Lepisosteus oculatus: one gene and its partner. The protein of the gene in region 2 purifies or fractionates together with the protein of the main gene of each other region. This does not show direct contact. Links are inferred from orthologs where the notes say so. Each region holds a gene or a part of one and is shown on either strand. Other genes may lie near its edges.

The links. The genes of interacting proteins can lie anywhere in the genome.
Region 1: the proteins of supt7l (region 2) and atxn7l3a purify together in Homo sapiens (affinity purification with mass spectrometry; 6 studies listed by BioGRID and IntAct, counting the BioPlex papers as one, with this or other methods). This does not show direct contact. The link is inferred for Lepisosteus oculatus from reciprocal best matches to the Homo sapiens genes SUPT7L and ATXN7L3.

Annotation. Positions count from the first base shown.
Region 1 is NC_090723.1:3,126,218-3,134,092, forward strand, and holds the start of atxn7l3a (ataxin-7-like protein 3), read right to left. Parts: upstream 3,125-7,875; 5' UTR 3,035-3,124; intron 3,026-3,034; exon of another isoform or gene 2,873-3,025; intron 2,713-2,872; 5' UTR 2,579-2,712; intron 513-2,578; exon of another isoform or gene 510-512; 5' UTR 419-509; intron 1-418. Other genes in the region: ubtf (nucleolar transcription factor 1), read right to left, coding at 7,201-7,308, 7,441-7,560, 7,712-7,777. UniProt on the Homo sapiens protein: Component of the transcription regulatory histone acetylation (HAT) complex SAGA, a multiprotein complex that activates transcription by remodeling chromatin and mediating histone acetylation and deubiquitination.
Region 2 is NC_090697.1:27,545,660-27,553,778, reverse strand, and holds the start of supt7l (STAGA complex 65 subunit gamma), read right to left. Parts: upstream 3,029-8,119; 5' UTR 2,944-3,028; intron 1,543-2,943; 5' UTR 1,509-1,542; coding exon 1,099-1,508; intron 1-1,098. Other genes in the region: slc4a1ap (kanadaptin), read left to right, coding at 3,423-4,325, 5,250-5,454, 6,160-6,288, 7,008-7,068, 7,518-7,657.

The DNA.
Region 1 (7,875 bases), on a different chromosome or scaffold from region 2:
CAGAGCAGGGGTATACTTCCACTACACAGCTCATAAAAGTACAAAACCACACAAAATATTACAACACAACGCCTAAAAAAAGCACTGGTCCTCTCAATTTGAGATACGCCATATATTCCATAAGATTTTAAATTAGTGCAGCCCAGTTCAAACTCACTGTTTAAGCAGGACAGCGAATGAGACAGAACTGCACATTTCACACGCTTTCTCAGCCTTCAACGGGACTGAGATCTGTGGATTGTTCTGGCTAAACAAAGTGAATTAAGTCTGCATCTGGCTTCTGAAGCCAACCATATATTGCATACCTCTTGTGAGTCTATTCATTTGACTGAAGGTTCTTAATAACTTGGACAGCAAGTAAAAATGACCCCAAAGCAGGCACAACAGGACTTACTCCCAATGGACCCACAGTACTTACAAACACGCAGAGCTGTGCCAGGCTGGTGTGCACACTTATTCAAGACGTGCCTTCAGTGGGGAATGATGGCCTTCCTTCTCAAAGACTCTTTCTGCTGAACGGGAAAAAAGAATTCCATAGCTTTATGCTTCTTAATAATGCTGTGCTCTTCCAAATTGCATCATTAATGGTATAAGTCAAAACGGATGACAATGAAAATGTATTTCTAATGGCATCTTCTCCTTCATATGTATGCATAACTATACAATGGAATTCATACAACTGATAACCTACAGATCTGATCTAATCTTTCTTAGTTTTTATTTTTGAAGTGGGTAATCCACTGTGTATATAATATGTATAATTATATACATAATATGTATTTTCGTGCCACAATTACAATGAATAAAATACCCACTCCAGCTACATTTCAATTTTACTTGAAATTGGCCCAAATGGATTGCAAATAAGAGGTTATTTCCAAGTTTTGACAAATCCCAGGACAAGCTGCTCTAAAATGTCTGACACTTTGCGTTAAGATAGAAATATTTATTTTTCTGGGACCAGACTTGAAAACACAACCTCTTTAGTTTGGTTTCCAAAATACTCTAACTGTAAGCATATTATAGTTAGGAGAATGTTATTTCTTGAGGTCATTTAATTTTGTCACCAGAAGAGTGTTTATAGAGTTCGGTTCATACAATGAACTGCAAGATCGAAATACAGCAAAATGAAACCTGATTGAAACAAGTGAGATAAATAGTCTCAATCTGGGAAAACTTGACTGTGAACAAAACAAGGGATTCCGTTTGTCTGCAAACAAGAAGTCAGTTACATGATAACAGTTTCACACAAAATATATATATTCTAGTATGACAGCAAAAGAGTTACACAACTATATACAGGGGAACTAAATGGATGCCAGAAAAGATTAAGAACACTTTTAGAAATATGGCCAAACAGGAAAATACAGACGTAGCTTCACAAAACATAAAACGAGTGTTTCTTTTATTCTTCCAGGAGGCTGAAAGAAAAACATTTACAGGACACTGCAGACAGTACAGGGTGTAGGTGGGGGGAAAGGGACCCGATGCAATGGATTTCAAAAGGAAAGGCTTCTTTCTTCTTAGCTTGTGTATTTAACTAACATGAGGTCTAAATGAACAGATTTCACTTGACAAGTATGAACAGAGGCCAAATGAGACCCATATAAATTAAAGACAACCAAGAAAACGATCGCCACTCTACTTCAATGTACAGTTTAATAACAAAAGACCCTACTGTGATTATGCTCTTAAAAGAGCAAAGGGCATAAATCTTTAAAGAATGCTACAGTGACGTCTCTAAATTAATGAAAAGATAGGCTGCAGTAATTCTGAACTCAGCTGGAAAAAAAGTTCACGGGTATGTAGCTGCAGGAAAGACCTCCGCCGTACAAATCGGACCAAAACTATTCATTTGAACGGACGGCGTGATTTAGTTGGCCGTATGCGTTACAGTATTTACCAAGATATCCTTGTGTCTCATTCTCACAAAGAGGGCCAGTAGTTATTAAAACAATAAATAATTACTAGGTAATACAGTTACATTAAATACGAAGAAGAACATTTGCGAGATTAAAAAAAAAGCCCCAGCCAGAATGTTAACACAAAAGGTCTCGTTGTTTTAATCACACCAAAAAAAGCTAAATATAATCAGACATGCATGAAATCCAAAACCGTCGTCACTTAAATTATAATACGTACAAAGGACACAGTTCAAGCCTGTGTAAACACACACCTTTCAAATATTTTAAGGCACTGAAACACGGAACGCACTTTACTGCTCACTTTGTTTCCGACAATTAACAAACACGTTTTTTCTCTGAACTGAGCACATGCAAATAACGAACGGTTTTGCGGGGGCTGTAATGCATCAAACTACTCGCAGCCCATCACAGAAAACAACAACAACAACAAAAAACTTAAAACGATTAAGAAAAGCCAAGCAGGAACTGTTTTACATCTACATACCACCCTCCCATTTAAAAATATCAGCATCCATAAATCGTGCCTAAATAAGATCCGTGGTCAGAGCGGGGCTCGCTAATTAAAGGTACGTAATAAATTCGTCAAAGGCATCGTCAAGAAATCCGAAACAATTGTTACTGGAAGTGATTTTTTTTGTAACCTGCACCCTCACCCTTGAATAGCCAGGGCCGAGGCTGGAGATCAGAGCCGATTCCGGCAGCTCTCTGTCCAGAAAGGCATCTCATGTAGACAGCGGTGTCCTGTCCGCTTTCATTACTACCGTCCGAAACAAACTGCACTCCAAGCCTGTAATAAAAAAAAGACGCACAAAATTCCAGCGCACAATTATCTAAACGCTGTCAAAAATAATAAAAAAATAAAGGAATAAGCTGCCATTTTTTTCCTGCAGGCAATGTTAATCAATTACCTATAGTTGATTTTTTTTTTATATATATATACAACCCACCCCAACAAGACTTCTCTTTTTTTTTTTAACCTGCAGTAATACTGCAGACGAGCTTGTCACAAGCCGGTCATCATTCAAACTGCGATCAAAGAGACGGCTTTAAATGGGGAAGAAAAAGAAATGCAATAAGAAAAAAAAAAGCAAAAGCTCAGATCAGCCTACCTCGCTAGGGTTGAGCTCCGCGCTGCTTGATGGACAGACGATCCGACCAGCAGCTCAGCGACGCAGTCAAACCAGTCTCCAATTACCGACAGGCGGGGCGGAGATTAGGTTACATTATCCCCCCCCATACTGAAGTTTGGTTGCACGATTATAACACAACCAGTGTGTAACAGGCGAGTTGTTATGGACTTCGTTTTGTATCTTTAAAATTGCCAGCAGTTTGGGAGTGACGTCAACGGGATGGCTTCACCCGCCGTTAGGTTTGCATTTCTACATGTTGATGGCTTAGTTACCTCAATGTTTTGCATCCGGCGGATAACGTGTGCGGGAAGCCCGGCAGCTATAAAAATGAATTAAACTGTTGTCTCATCTTGGATACAAGGAAGTTAGGTGGCAGAAATGAGCCTCTGTAGAGGGCAGGAGATGTTTATAGATCTTGAGAAATCTGTTGTTCAGCACCTACCACTATCATTCAATGCCATGTACGTTGGCGCAGTATTTTGCATTTTAGAATGAATGTTGCGCCACAGAAAAATCATGGGAGACCTCCGAGGAAAATCAGATTGCTGCTGTAAGGGGTGGGAGTGGACCAGTAGGTGGCGATCTTCATACTGGAATAGAATTTAAATCCAGTGCCCCAGTATGACAACTGCGGAGGAGCGGTGGCTCTGTGGCTCAGGATCTGCGCCTGTGGCTGGAAGGTTGCTGGTTCAAATCCTGCGGCCGGCAGAGGAATCCTACTCCGTTGGGCCCCTGAGCAAGGCCCTTAACCCCAGCTGCTCCATGGGCGCCGTATAAATGGCTGACCCTGCGCTCTGACCCCCAGCTTCTCTCTCCCCTACTTAATTTTAGTTCATTTTATATTTCATCATCTAAAATTCTAAATTAAAGTTGTGCTATTTAACCATTAATCTGCATTTTGTTCCGTTCTTTTTACCCATTTTTCCAATTCAGAGTTGCGGTGGAGCCTGTTCATCCACCCTGGATGGGACGCCAGTCCATCACAGATACAATCTCACTCATCTTCGCAGAAGCCAAACAACCTACCCCAATGTTTTCGGACTGCGGGAAGAATCCAGAACAGCTGGCGGACACCCACAAGAACATGGGGAGAACATACAAACTCCATGCACACAGCACCCCAGGTCCAGCACTGTGAGGTAATGTTAACCATTGTGCCACCTAATCAACATTCTCAATTGATATATCCATCAGCTTATTGCACATCTATAGCTAGTCGATACAGATTTCCCCCTTTTAAGGAGTTCTTCGGGAATTTGTAGTCTTGGATTTAGGTATGGCCTGGTACATCTCCCTTATTTTCATTAAAATGGTTGAATATTGGTTAAGTGCAAAAAAAGACTATAGTAAATATGTTGTAAAAGCTCACCCAAAAGATATCATTAAAGCAGACTTTGCAAAAGATGCAAGTTTCTGAAGTCAATAAACAACACCGTTATTTTGATAAAAACAAAGTTTACTTGCCCCAAATAGTAAATAACTTGAAATAAAGAACACCTTTTGCTATAAAACATCATAAAGATTTTCTGGGTTGTCGTGAGCAGTACAAATCTGCAAAGCTTTTTTTTTGTTTGTTTTTTTTATTGTTTCTACAAAAAAAAACACTTTTGAAACATTAGAAAAAAAACCTCCCGAGAGCTGCATGCATCTGGGAAGTGCAAAAACGCACTAAAGTCGCCGCTTACAGCCGAGACTGGCGCCTTCGCTTTCATTAACCCCGCAGCGCCCTACAAATAACAGTAAGATTTTCTCCACAAAATAAAAATATACTTACAAGTAAAACAAAAGCCACTTGTTACAAAGAGCATTATATACAAATACCATACAACCATATTAGACCCAACACATGACACCCCCCCCCCCCCCCTCCATACTAGAAATTCCCAGTGTGCAGCTTTAATGCATTCATTTCCTTATGAACAAACTGGCAAAAGGGACTTAATAACTTGTGGGACTGTACCAGTGACACTCTTCCTGTTTCAAAGTATGCACTGCACAGAGTATAACAAAGAAGCAGAAAACAAATTATCTTAGTCCACAGTGAAATACAGCTCTTGGCCTCAGGATTGTAATGCCTGAAGACTGTTCCTTTGATTTAAAAAGACTTCTGGATCCAGTTATGAAATATTTAATTTCAATGTCAATATTTCCTCATGGGTGGAGGTGAATGACTCCATGACTTTTTTTCTTTATGCATCCATTTACTAAAGTGAGTGCTCATAATTTTTTTTACTAGGAAAAATACTCATTCAGCTTGGCCTCACTAGACATTCTTTTCCCCAACAAAAAAATGTGGTCTTTTTACACTAAGCTAGTGGGGAATTCACAGGAAAGGTCTTAGAATATTTAAGATTAAAAACTAAAAATGATGTCCTAAATGCAAATTTGTTCTGGTTTAATAAAAACAGTTAACCCACCATTATAATACCTAATTGGTAACTTAGTAGGAATCTCATGAAAGTAAATAAAAAGTAAGAATAAAAGTTTAAGTGCACATCTTCACCTTTGGAAGCTGTCTGTTGATTGCACTGGGAGACCTGACAATCTGCAGTAGAGATTATAATCAGGATTCATAAAAAACAGTGGTTTGTAAGGACAATGTGGATAAAACAAAATCTGTTTTATCTGACCCTAACTGCACAGAAGCTATTTTCCATCCTACAAATACTAGGTTTACAACAGCTCATCGCAAATGGATGGTTCCTAGCATTTCTGAGGCTCAAGAATCACGCAGTACAGTTAATCATACACCACTAGGGGGCTCCATAGAGTACAGTAGCCTGGGAGTGCATTCTCTTTGAAAAAAAAATCAACTTTTGAAAGCCACAGACTGAATTTCCTTTCTTGGCGTTCTGTTGTCGTTCTTTTCAACGAAAGCATGTGCATTTTGATTCCTTAAAATCTTTTGTATTTTTTTTAGTAGCTTCTGAAAAGGTGAGCTACCACTAAAAAAAGTAAAAAAGGAAGGATGTTGGTCGTAACAAATCTAGGACTAAAGGAAATGATTCTGAAATACTGTCAATGAGTCTGGGAAATTAAATGACATAGAATCAAAGGTTGCGATTGCAAGCTGAGTCCCCCTACTAATCTAATGGCGAACAAAAGAATATAAACAGATGCTGATGTTGAAACTACTCATCAAGCATCACAAGTAACATTTTCTGAACAAGCATTTAAACTTGTCTGCTTAGCTGTGGCTTTTAGGCCTTCTCACCAAAGAGTTTGATTCATAAACTGAAAACAGTAGATGGTGGTCTTATTCCAGTCTTTAAATGTGATGTAAGAAATTACTCCACTTAACATTTTCCAAACAGGTAACTAGCATTTTAACTCTGTAGCAAAAGCACATTTAATTGATATTTGGCCAACCTAACAGGTCATTAGCCTTGGCTTATTTCTTGGCTTATTTCTTCATGAAAATCACAATCAAAAACACTTGTTTGACAACAAAGGCCTTGAATCAATGCGTTAGCTTAAACGGAAGTGTGTGGTCCCATACCTCTCCCCTGCTCTGCCTGCAAGTGAACTGTACTCTTTCACTCCTCGTCACTGGGAATACCTACCGCATACAGTAGCCGTGAGATTCAACAATGTCCCTTTCAAAAAAGCGTTACTGGGCAGAATAAGGGAATTTGGCATTTTGTTTTACATCACATCACAAAAAAGCTTTAAAAGTGGTATTCAGTTTTTTAAAAGTTACAATGCTTTACAAAAGTCTTGGTGTTCAGCTTTTTTTTGCCCCAAACGTGAAAGCAAGTCTCCTTATAACATGTCGCATTGTTCTGACAGAGGTGTGAGTGTTCTTTTCAAGAACTGTGTGTTAAAAACTAAAGTATGGAGAAACATTCTGGGAGCAGGCTGTTGGGAGTCAGCTGGACAGAGCTCTTGCAGCAAAGCGCACGTGTCCCTAAAGGCCAGCATGTAGGTGTCTGTGTGTTTAAGCTAGGGCAGGGGGAATTTGAAGGGATTCTTTGCACAAAAAGCACTCTTGCTGTCTGTCTTTTCGGCTCATAGGGTGCCTCCTCCTGGGAGGGGAGTGCTATTACAGCAGCATTTATGGAAGGGAACTGTTCCCCCATTTCTTGGCTCTGCAATGCTCACAGTCAGGAAGGATGGATTTTCTTTTCCTACGGGCATCCCTTGGATCAGTCGGAATCCGAGTCGGAGGACTCCTCAGAGCTAGACGAGCCGGTGCTGCTACTTTCAGATTTGTTCTCCTTGTCATCCACCTCTTCGTCATCATCTTCCTCGTTCTAAACACGCCGGGGGGAAATAATTAAAAAAGTTCATTTGTCAGTCATACATTTACATTTCAAACCACTCTAGATTAGAACTAATAAAGAAAGGATGCCCAGGAGTCGTTTGCAAGACCCACACTTCCTAACCTCATCATCCTCCTCTTCCTCCTCCTCCTCACTGTCTTCCTCACTGGAAGACTCTTCATCTGAAGAAGCCGCCTTCTCCTCCTCTTCATCGTCCTCATCCTCATCTTCCTCTTCGGAATCCTGTACATTAAAAAAAAATGTCTCAGCGGTCCCCCCTCCTTTCACACTCACTTCATCATCGCGCTCCCCTGGAGCAGTGAGACAGAGGGTCCCGCGTTCACAAAGGAAAAAGAGACGACAAGAGAGGACGGATCCACGCTGCAGAACTTACCGATTTATTGACGAGAGCCTTCACCTTTGCGGTTGTCCCACCAGGCTTTGATTTCCCTTTGCGTTTCTGTGAAAGCAAACAGAGGAGCTGAGCGTCCACCACTTGGATCACCAGCAGGGCCTCGACATCAGTGAATTTAACATTCGCTGATCTGCTTATCTGGG
Region 2 (8,119 bases):
GAGACTTTCCTTGTCATTTCTTCTTCAGCCTGTACCAGGGAGTTACTGAACTCAAGTTATTCCATGTCTTAACACTTACAGCTATTGCAAAATTTCCTTCTATATACTTAACAATGTTTCCCTCTTCTTGTTTGTATACTCAAATCCTACAAAATACAAGGCACACAAATCTGTAGGCTAGCCGATTTGGTTAACTCATGGTGTGCTCACAGAGACGCGGCCAGGGGATGGTTAACACCATTTCAGTGTTTGGCTGGTTATCTTAACTTCTTGCATCTCTTCCCTGTCTTTATTGCCCCGCTCATTGCAAGCTTGTGAGACTGAGGCAGCAGTGTTCAACTGCACGGGTGTTGCAAGGCACTACAGCGGGTGGTCAAAACTGCCCAACACATCATCGGCAGTGCCTTACCATCCATCCGGGAAATATACAACACCAGGAGTCTGAAAAAAGCCACCAAAATTATATCTGACCCAACTCACCCAGTCATAACTTGTTTGTTCCCCTACCATCTGGCAGAAGGTTCCGGTCACTCCAGTCGCACACAACTAGACTCCAAAATAGCTTCTTCCCCAGAGTTGTCAAGTTGGCGACGCCCCCACACCCTCCAACCATATTATGATCTCTCCTAACGTCTACCTGTACCCACAATGACTGTACTCCTACACCACTATACACAAATGTAAGCCAAAATTGTACTGTCCCCTCAATAGCCCAGTAAAACTGTACCGGTCGTAATAATATTTAATATTTATTAATTAACCATACTATTTTTGCAATGTTCCAAGAATTACCTTGCAGTATTTTTGTCCTGTTATATTTTCTCTGTTTGCGGAATTTTGCACAGTTTCGATTACTTGATTACATGTTATTTATATTATGTTATTACATGTTACTGCTATTGCTATTGTGTTACTGTCTATTGTCTTACCTTCTGTCCTATTTATATACTGCACCTGAGTGACTAATGAGAAACACTTTTCATTATACTAGGCACCTGTGTAAGTTTAATGACAAATAAAGTTGAATTGAATTTAATTGAAACTGAGAAAGGAAGAAAGTGCCCTTAAATTGAAAAGGCAGACCTAAACCACACTCACTTGTAGAAGTCACTCTCGGGGTCACTGTGGCGCAGCTGGAAGGGCTGGTGGGGGGCCTTGCTGTCGGGGGGCAGCAGGTCATCGGGCAGGGCAGGGGTGGCGGGCCGGGGAGGAAGGGCGTCGCTGTCCTCGGGCCGCCCCGCCCCCTCGGCCTGGGGCTGGCCCTGGGCGGCGGCCAGGAGCCCCCGGAGGCGGCGGGCGTGCTGGCACAGCTGCACCGTGTGGATGGTCAGGCTGCAGGGCTCCGAGGGCACGTCCAGCATGGTGGTGGGGCGCGGGCGCTGGGCGGAGGGCTGGTGCAGGGGGGGGTCCTGCACCTCCACCGAGCGGAACTCCCGCTGCAGCAGGTCGAAGGAGCTGCGGCTGGGCGGCGCTGCGGGCGCTGGGATCTCCCCCCAGTACCGCATCATCGTGCCACCTCAGCCTCGAGACACGCTAGCAACACTGCCGGACACACACACAAAACAGTAGATTCATGTTAAACGGCACTAGAATCAGACATAAGGCTTTGCTCTCTAAGGTAGGGGTTCCCAAAACGAGGTGAAAGGACTGTGGGTGGCAGAAAGTGACAGTCTAGCACAGGAGATCCCAACCTGAGTCCTCTGGGTCCAGAATCCAGCAGACTTTCTATGTCTCTCCATAAGTTCGAAAGATACTCTTCACCTGGGTGTTAAACTGACTCAATTAAGGTTTAACTGGGCTGATCTTTTCTTTCTCCACGGCCTTAAGCCTTATCGACGACCTAAAGTGGCGTTGAATATCCCTATAGATTCCAGACTCCCAGGTAAAGAGGTGAGAACCTGTGGTTTAACATGTTCCTACAAAATCGTGTTGTGAACCACAATACGATGAGAGTTAAACCAGTTGTCTTCCTTCAGGAGCTTTCTTCTAGCGAATGGTAATTGTTTAAGTATGCTTATTGAGGATCTGACGGCTGTCAAATCCTGGTCCTGGGAGCTGGTGTGTCTATAGGTTTTAAATCCACCTCAGCTCTCAACACTCTGATTACTGTGTTAACAACCATTTCCAGCTCTTCAGGTGCTGCTGCTTAAAAAAACCCACAGACACACCAGGCCTCCAGGACCAGGATGCAAGAGACAGCCCTTCCTGGAGTATTGTGCCTTCGATTACTAAAATTACTATATAGTGATGAATTTTTCTTGTATTTTAAAAATCATAAGTTCCTGAAAATTGAGAGTGTGTACAGAAGTTAAACAGCTAGTAAAGAGAGAATTACTGTCCATGTTGCCGATACACGTTAATGCGTTTAGTCCCTAAAGGATCTGCTACAGTAACGACAATGTTACTGCACTCTATGCATGCATGTAATATCTATTACGCCTATAGCGTAATTTCCGTCCCTCGAGTTAATTATGTTTTTACTTTTTTGTTTTGTTTTGTGAATTCATATCCTACAATTAAAGTTGAGGCTATAGGATTTATTCTAGAGAAGTACTATAGAGTTAGACATTAGTCTACACAACGCATCATTGTCATTTGTCCTTGGATTGGGAGTTAGGTGACGCTTAACACTATATACTATATTTTTAGTTCGTTATATATTTTTGTTTCGGCGTCTTTATTTCGGACGAAACCATACTTTTTAAGTTTACCGCAGTCTTGAGGCGTGGTTTTCAACCCAGCGGACAGTGTAAAATTTGAAAAAAGAACATAAATGTTAACATAACCGTTGTAATTATAGTGTATACAAAATCGTATCCATACAATTATTGACTTGCAGTTATGATACCCTACTAAAATAAAATGTGTATTTTTGCTTACATTACAAAACTGAAACTTTTCAACCATCAGTGTTTAAACAATAAACCACACAAAACCACTCACCTTAATACGATTTCTTTAATCTTGAATGCCGAACAGACAAATTTCAAAGTGTCCAACTCTTATTTTGATTCGTATGGAAACAATTACTCATTATACAATAGTTCCTAAATTATTCGTCGTCTTCAACATTATTATGATTTCGTGATGAGATATAGTAAGCGATATATATATTGTGGCAATATGAATATTTCTAATATTATTAGTAATTTTATTACCCGTGTTTAATAAATTAAGAGAATTATAGACCAAATAAAAAAGTAATAAAAATCCATGCTAGTGTTTTCGGTGTTATTGTTCTCACAAATAAGGAACACGTAGAGGTTAATTCCACGCTGAAAACCAAAAATAATCAGTAATAATGTACAAAAATATAACCTTAAACGTTACTTATTTAAAAGTCTTCTGATGTGGAACCTTTCTTGATTAGTCTCTACTGTCCCCAAAGCGGAAGGAAATATTTTGCATTTGTACCAAGAAGCATGGCGGAAGAAGTAAATGTAACACGAACATTAGAGCAGCAGCAGCGTGAGCTTACTGAAATTGGAATGAGTGAGAAAGAAGAAAGAGAACAGCCCGATAGGGTTATTTTGGAGACGAAGGGAGGAGAAGGGACGAATGAAACCCACGCACTGGAAGATCCGTTTAAGAAACCTGACGTTTTCAAGGCGCCTTCCTTGCCTTTAAAGAAACCCGGAGCAGCTGCCCCGGTGTCCACTGTTGATGAAGAACCCGTTGTGGAAAACAGTGTGAAGTCTGTAATACCCGAAGCCACGCACACAGGTAAAGAAGGCTTGGAATCAGAAGGGGACTGCGGTACATCTGGTGATGGCATTTTAGAAAACGGCAGCGACACGACAAACGACTGCAGCCAGACAACCTCTCCGACAACCGCGAAACCCGTAAAGGATAACGCAGCCAGCGCAACAGTACGAGGTCTTGCAAGTGCGCAGGTCCTCAAAGCCAAACTCCCATCCAAAGTATCGGACGTGAAGTTTAAACCCTGCCCTCCTTTGCCATACACCGAGCCGCCCTGGGGCGGTCTGGCAGAGACATCTTACTACTTTGAAATTCTGAAAAATGGCACCATCCTTGACACGGTACCGCTCACCGAGAGGAGCTTCTTCGTTTTTGGTCGGTTACCAAACTGTGATGTGTCCCTGGAACATCCCTCCATCTCTCGCTACCACGCCGTGGTCCAGTACCGGCGGCGCGCTGGAGAGGAGGGCGTGATCGGGGAAGAGAAGGGCTTCTATGTTTTCGACCTGAGTAGTACACATGGCACCTTCGTCAACAAGAACAAGATTCCGCCCAAGACCTACATCAGGCTAAGAGTGGGCCATGTGCTCAAGTTTGGGGGCAGCACCAGGCTGTTCATCCTGCAGGTAAGCCTGCAGACACACGAGAGTGTCTGATTTCCTTTAAATCTCTTGCAGAGTTAGATTATTCAAAGGTGTTGCACTCTGTGGTCTTCCATGCACAGTAAATTTTTAAATGAACTTCGGCTTCAACAACCTAGCTGATTAGTTTGATCCAGGCTCCCTGAACCCAAACTATGACTATACCTGTAATTTGGATATAGATTAAGTGTTTAATCAGGATTTTAAACTAAATGCCCTTTAATTGCATTTTCAAGTGATGGAGAATCAAGTTCCTAAATCCTTGTTAAATGTTGACTTTGCAAATAGGGAAGTTGTTAGACATAACATCAATGTGGTTCAGGTGGGTAGCTGCGTCAGCATGCTAAGGCTGCAAAGGAACAAGTAATAGGTTTGTTAAATCAATGTGTCACACTTTTTTCATGGTAATTATGAAACACATAAGCACTCACGTACAGTCCAGTGGGAATGCGATACTGCTACTTTCCACCTACAGTTTCTGTAGACTATGTACGAAAACCCTCAGTGACCTCTTTCAAATGTTGCTTTATGTATCATTAAGATAGGTACCCTTCCTGAATTCATATCTTAATAAATAAAGCATGGCAATGAATAAAGATGGGCTTTTGTTGTTTTGTTTATTCAGGTTTTTTTCTTGGTACCAAGAGCACCTGTAGTGTCGTCCATCACAAACGATTTTCAAAAGGCTACAGCTGCTCAAATGATGAAATCATTTAGCTTTTGGAATGTTTTGAATTGATTAAAAGACAGGTTTTGGTTAAGACTCGGTCCTGTTTGTTAAGCCAGGCTGATGTCCATTTGCACGCAGGTTGGGAGCCCGTGCCCTGGTCTCCTGCAAGGCGGTTTTTGAAGGAGACCTAGTCCCCTGCCTTCCTCGGGGGAGAACTGACCGTTTGTCTCCCCTCCTAGGGCCCAGAGTGTGACGCGGAAGCTGAGTCGGAGCTGTCCGTCACGGAGCTGAGGGAGCGCAGCCAGAGGCAGCGGGAGGAGCTGGAGAAGCGGATGATGGGAGACGGCTCGGACGAGGAAAGGGAGGGAGAGGGAGAGGAAGAAGGGGAGAGCAGCACCAGCGGGAGCTGTGCCAGTGAAGAGGGCAGCTGCACCTGGGGAATAGGTGAGCCACTGGAACACGCAGCACAGCCCCAGTGGGACCTGCTGAGTCTGGTTCTTGGCCAGTGCTCTTACTATGGCACAGGAACAAGAGTCCTCCTGCCTTCTACCTTACTGATGGCCCACTAGTTAACAGCGTTTCATGATTTGCTAAGCACACACAAACACCGGGCTTGAAAATTCATTTCCACCGGTCCAGTAGTAAATATCCAGGAAAATCAAAATTGTCTGTGTATGTTTACACAAACTGAGAGGTTAGGCAGGGAATCATTAATACCACTGAAGCCTTACACAGTCGGTGATTTCAGCTCAGTTCTGCTGTTTGCTGACACACTATTAAACATTCATGGGATTCTTGTATTTTACTGTAAGCTGCTTCATTCAGGGAAGTTTCTAACTTAGCATTAGTTTTACTGCCCGAGAAAGGTGGCATCAGCCACAATCTTGGGGGCATAAATCCTGGAATCAGGAAAACAAAGCAGGTTCAGAACGAAGAATAGCAGCAGTCCTCATTACTAAATAAGGGTTAATACATTGATTTCAGATATGCATGACTTTCAAGAAACTCAGAAGTCTTCTTTCTGGGTCAGCAGGCCTTCTCTTAATCGACCTCCTTTCACGTTTTTTTTTTTCTGTGAAGGCTGTTTGAAGTCCATTTTCTGTCTCACCTCTGTCTCTTTTTTGTTCTCTCCGTTTGTTCTCCCCCCAGGGGAAGATGCGCTTCCAGAGGAGGATGAGAACGCCGAGAATCCCTTCGCCAGTGAGTTCCAGGAGGACCCAGAGGCCCTTTACTTGAAGGACCCCAAGAAGGCCCTGCAGGGGTTCTTCGACAGGGAAGGTAGGGGAGTAGGTGCTCTTCGCTCAGTGCATGGACATTAGCGGTCTAACACATCCACACTCCATGAATACCAGTACCTCGTCCCCTGCCGTTAAACTGAAATCACCTGGTTGCTTATTATTTCTTTGGAAAGTGTGGGCCAGAATTGACATAGTCTGTATGTGCAAGTCTTGTGCAAAAAAAAAAAAGGTTTACCAAGTGACGCCTTGTGTGGGACATAGTGAGTGTAGTTATACATTTATATTTATTAAACATTCCCACACCTGAAGAAGGCTCCACGGCTGAAACGTTGTGTTTTTTCTCCTTTTTTTCAGCATGGAATAAACCTATTACTTGTTCATTTATATTTATATCTATATCTATATTTACATCTATATTTATATTCAGATGTGTGATACGATTTTTCTGCGTACTGTTCTGTTATAGTTTGTTCTTTGTGTTTCCTGACTGTGAGTAACTCTTTTAGTGCACCCCTCACTGTACTGATTGTATTGTATGTATTGTATTATTATTATTGTATCATTCGTTACACTGTGGCTGTGTTGTCTGTGTTAAGCTGCTGTTGCACTGCAATTTCCCTCACGGGATCAATAAAGTATCTACATTCTAGCATGTTGTTAATGGTCTTGACATGTACAGCCTTGGTAATTATTAATTATGCGAGTCTAGTGGATGGGCTGGGAGCAAACCGAAGGCTGAGCTTTGCATTATGATTTCAGGCGAGGAGCTGGAGTACGAGTATGATGACAAGGGCCGCAGCACATGGGTCTGCAGAGTCAGGTAAGGCTGCCCACCTCCTTATTTCTCACACCCATCCTATCCCAGTACTGTCCTGCAGCTGCAAGAGACAAAGATCTCCCTGATCTGCTGTGCAGAGTGGCTGCTCTGTGTTGCCCAAGTGGGGCTGCTGGTGCAGAGCTTTAATTTTTTTTTCTTTGTCATGTTTGTGGAATTATTTCTTACTTTAATTATTAATTATTGTTTCTTTGACGTGGGCTAGGTGTTTCTCTCCTGAGATAAGTTGATTTTTTTTATCACATATGTCCATCTGGAAAAGAAGAATGTTTCTAGTTGAATTCTGTCAAATTAAACTGACTTCTCAGTGTGTTGAAATGCTAGTTGTCTTTTCTCGAATATTTTAGAAATGTTGACAACCCAGCCCAGGGCCTTGTGCTTTGTGAACTCAGTGTGGTAATACTGAACTGACAGCCGCCATGTGCTGTGCCCAGGTTACCAGTGGACGACGCGGTGGGCAGACAGCTGGTGGCAGAGGTAACCCACACGGGGAAGAAGAAGGAGGCAGCCATACAGTGTGCCCTGGAGGCCTGCCGTATCCTGGAGGCTCGTGGGCTTCTGCGCCAGGAGGCAGGTGGGCACGCTGAGTCATGTCCACGCTACAGTGGGGTGTGTTGGGGGGGGGTCTGGAACAAGCTGCCCAGCTGTGTAGGTGAAGCCTCTACACTAGGATTCCTTCAGGTAACAGCTGGACGAGATCTTCCAGTCAGGGCAGGAGGCACTTTTTACACAAAGGGTGGTGGGAGTGTGGAACAAGCTAGCCAGCTATGTTGCCGAGACTTCTTTCAAGAAGCAGCTGGATAAGAACCTTGGATCAATTAGCTACCAAACAGGCTAGATAGACAAACAGCCTCCTCTCGTTTGTTACCTTTTCAGGTCCTTATTGTTTTTGCTCTGTGTTTGATCTTAACTGCACTGTTCTTGCAATCGTGCATCTCTGGCTTTCCCAAGCAACTGTTTGCAACGCATGAGGACTTACTGCTGCACAACTGTGCCCTCTGGTGGCCTGTGAGTCTCCTGATTTTCCTTCAGTCTG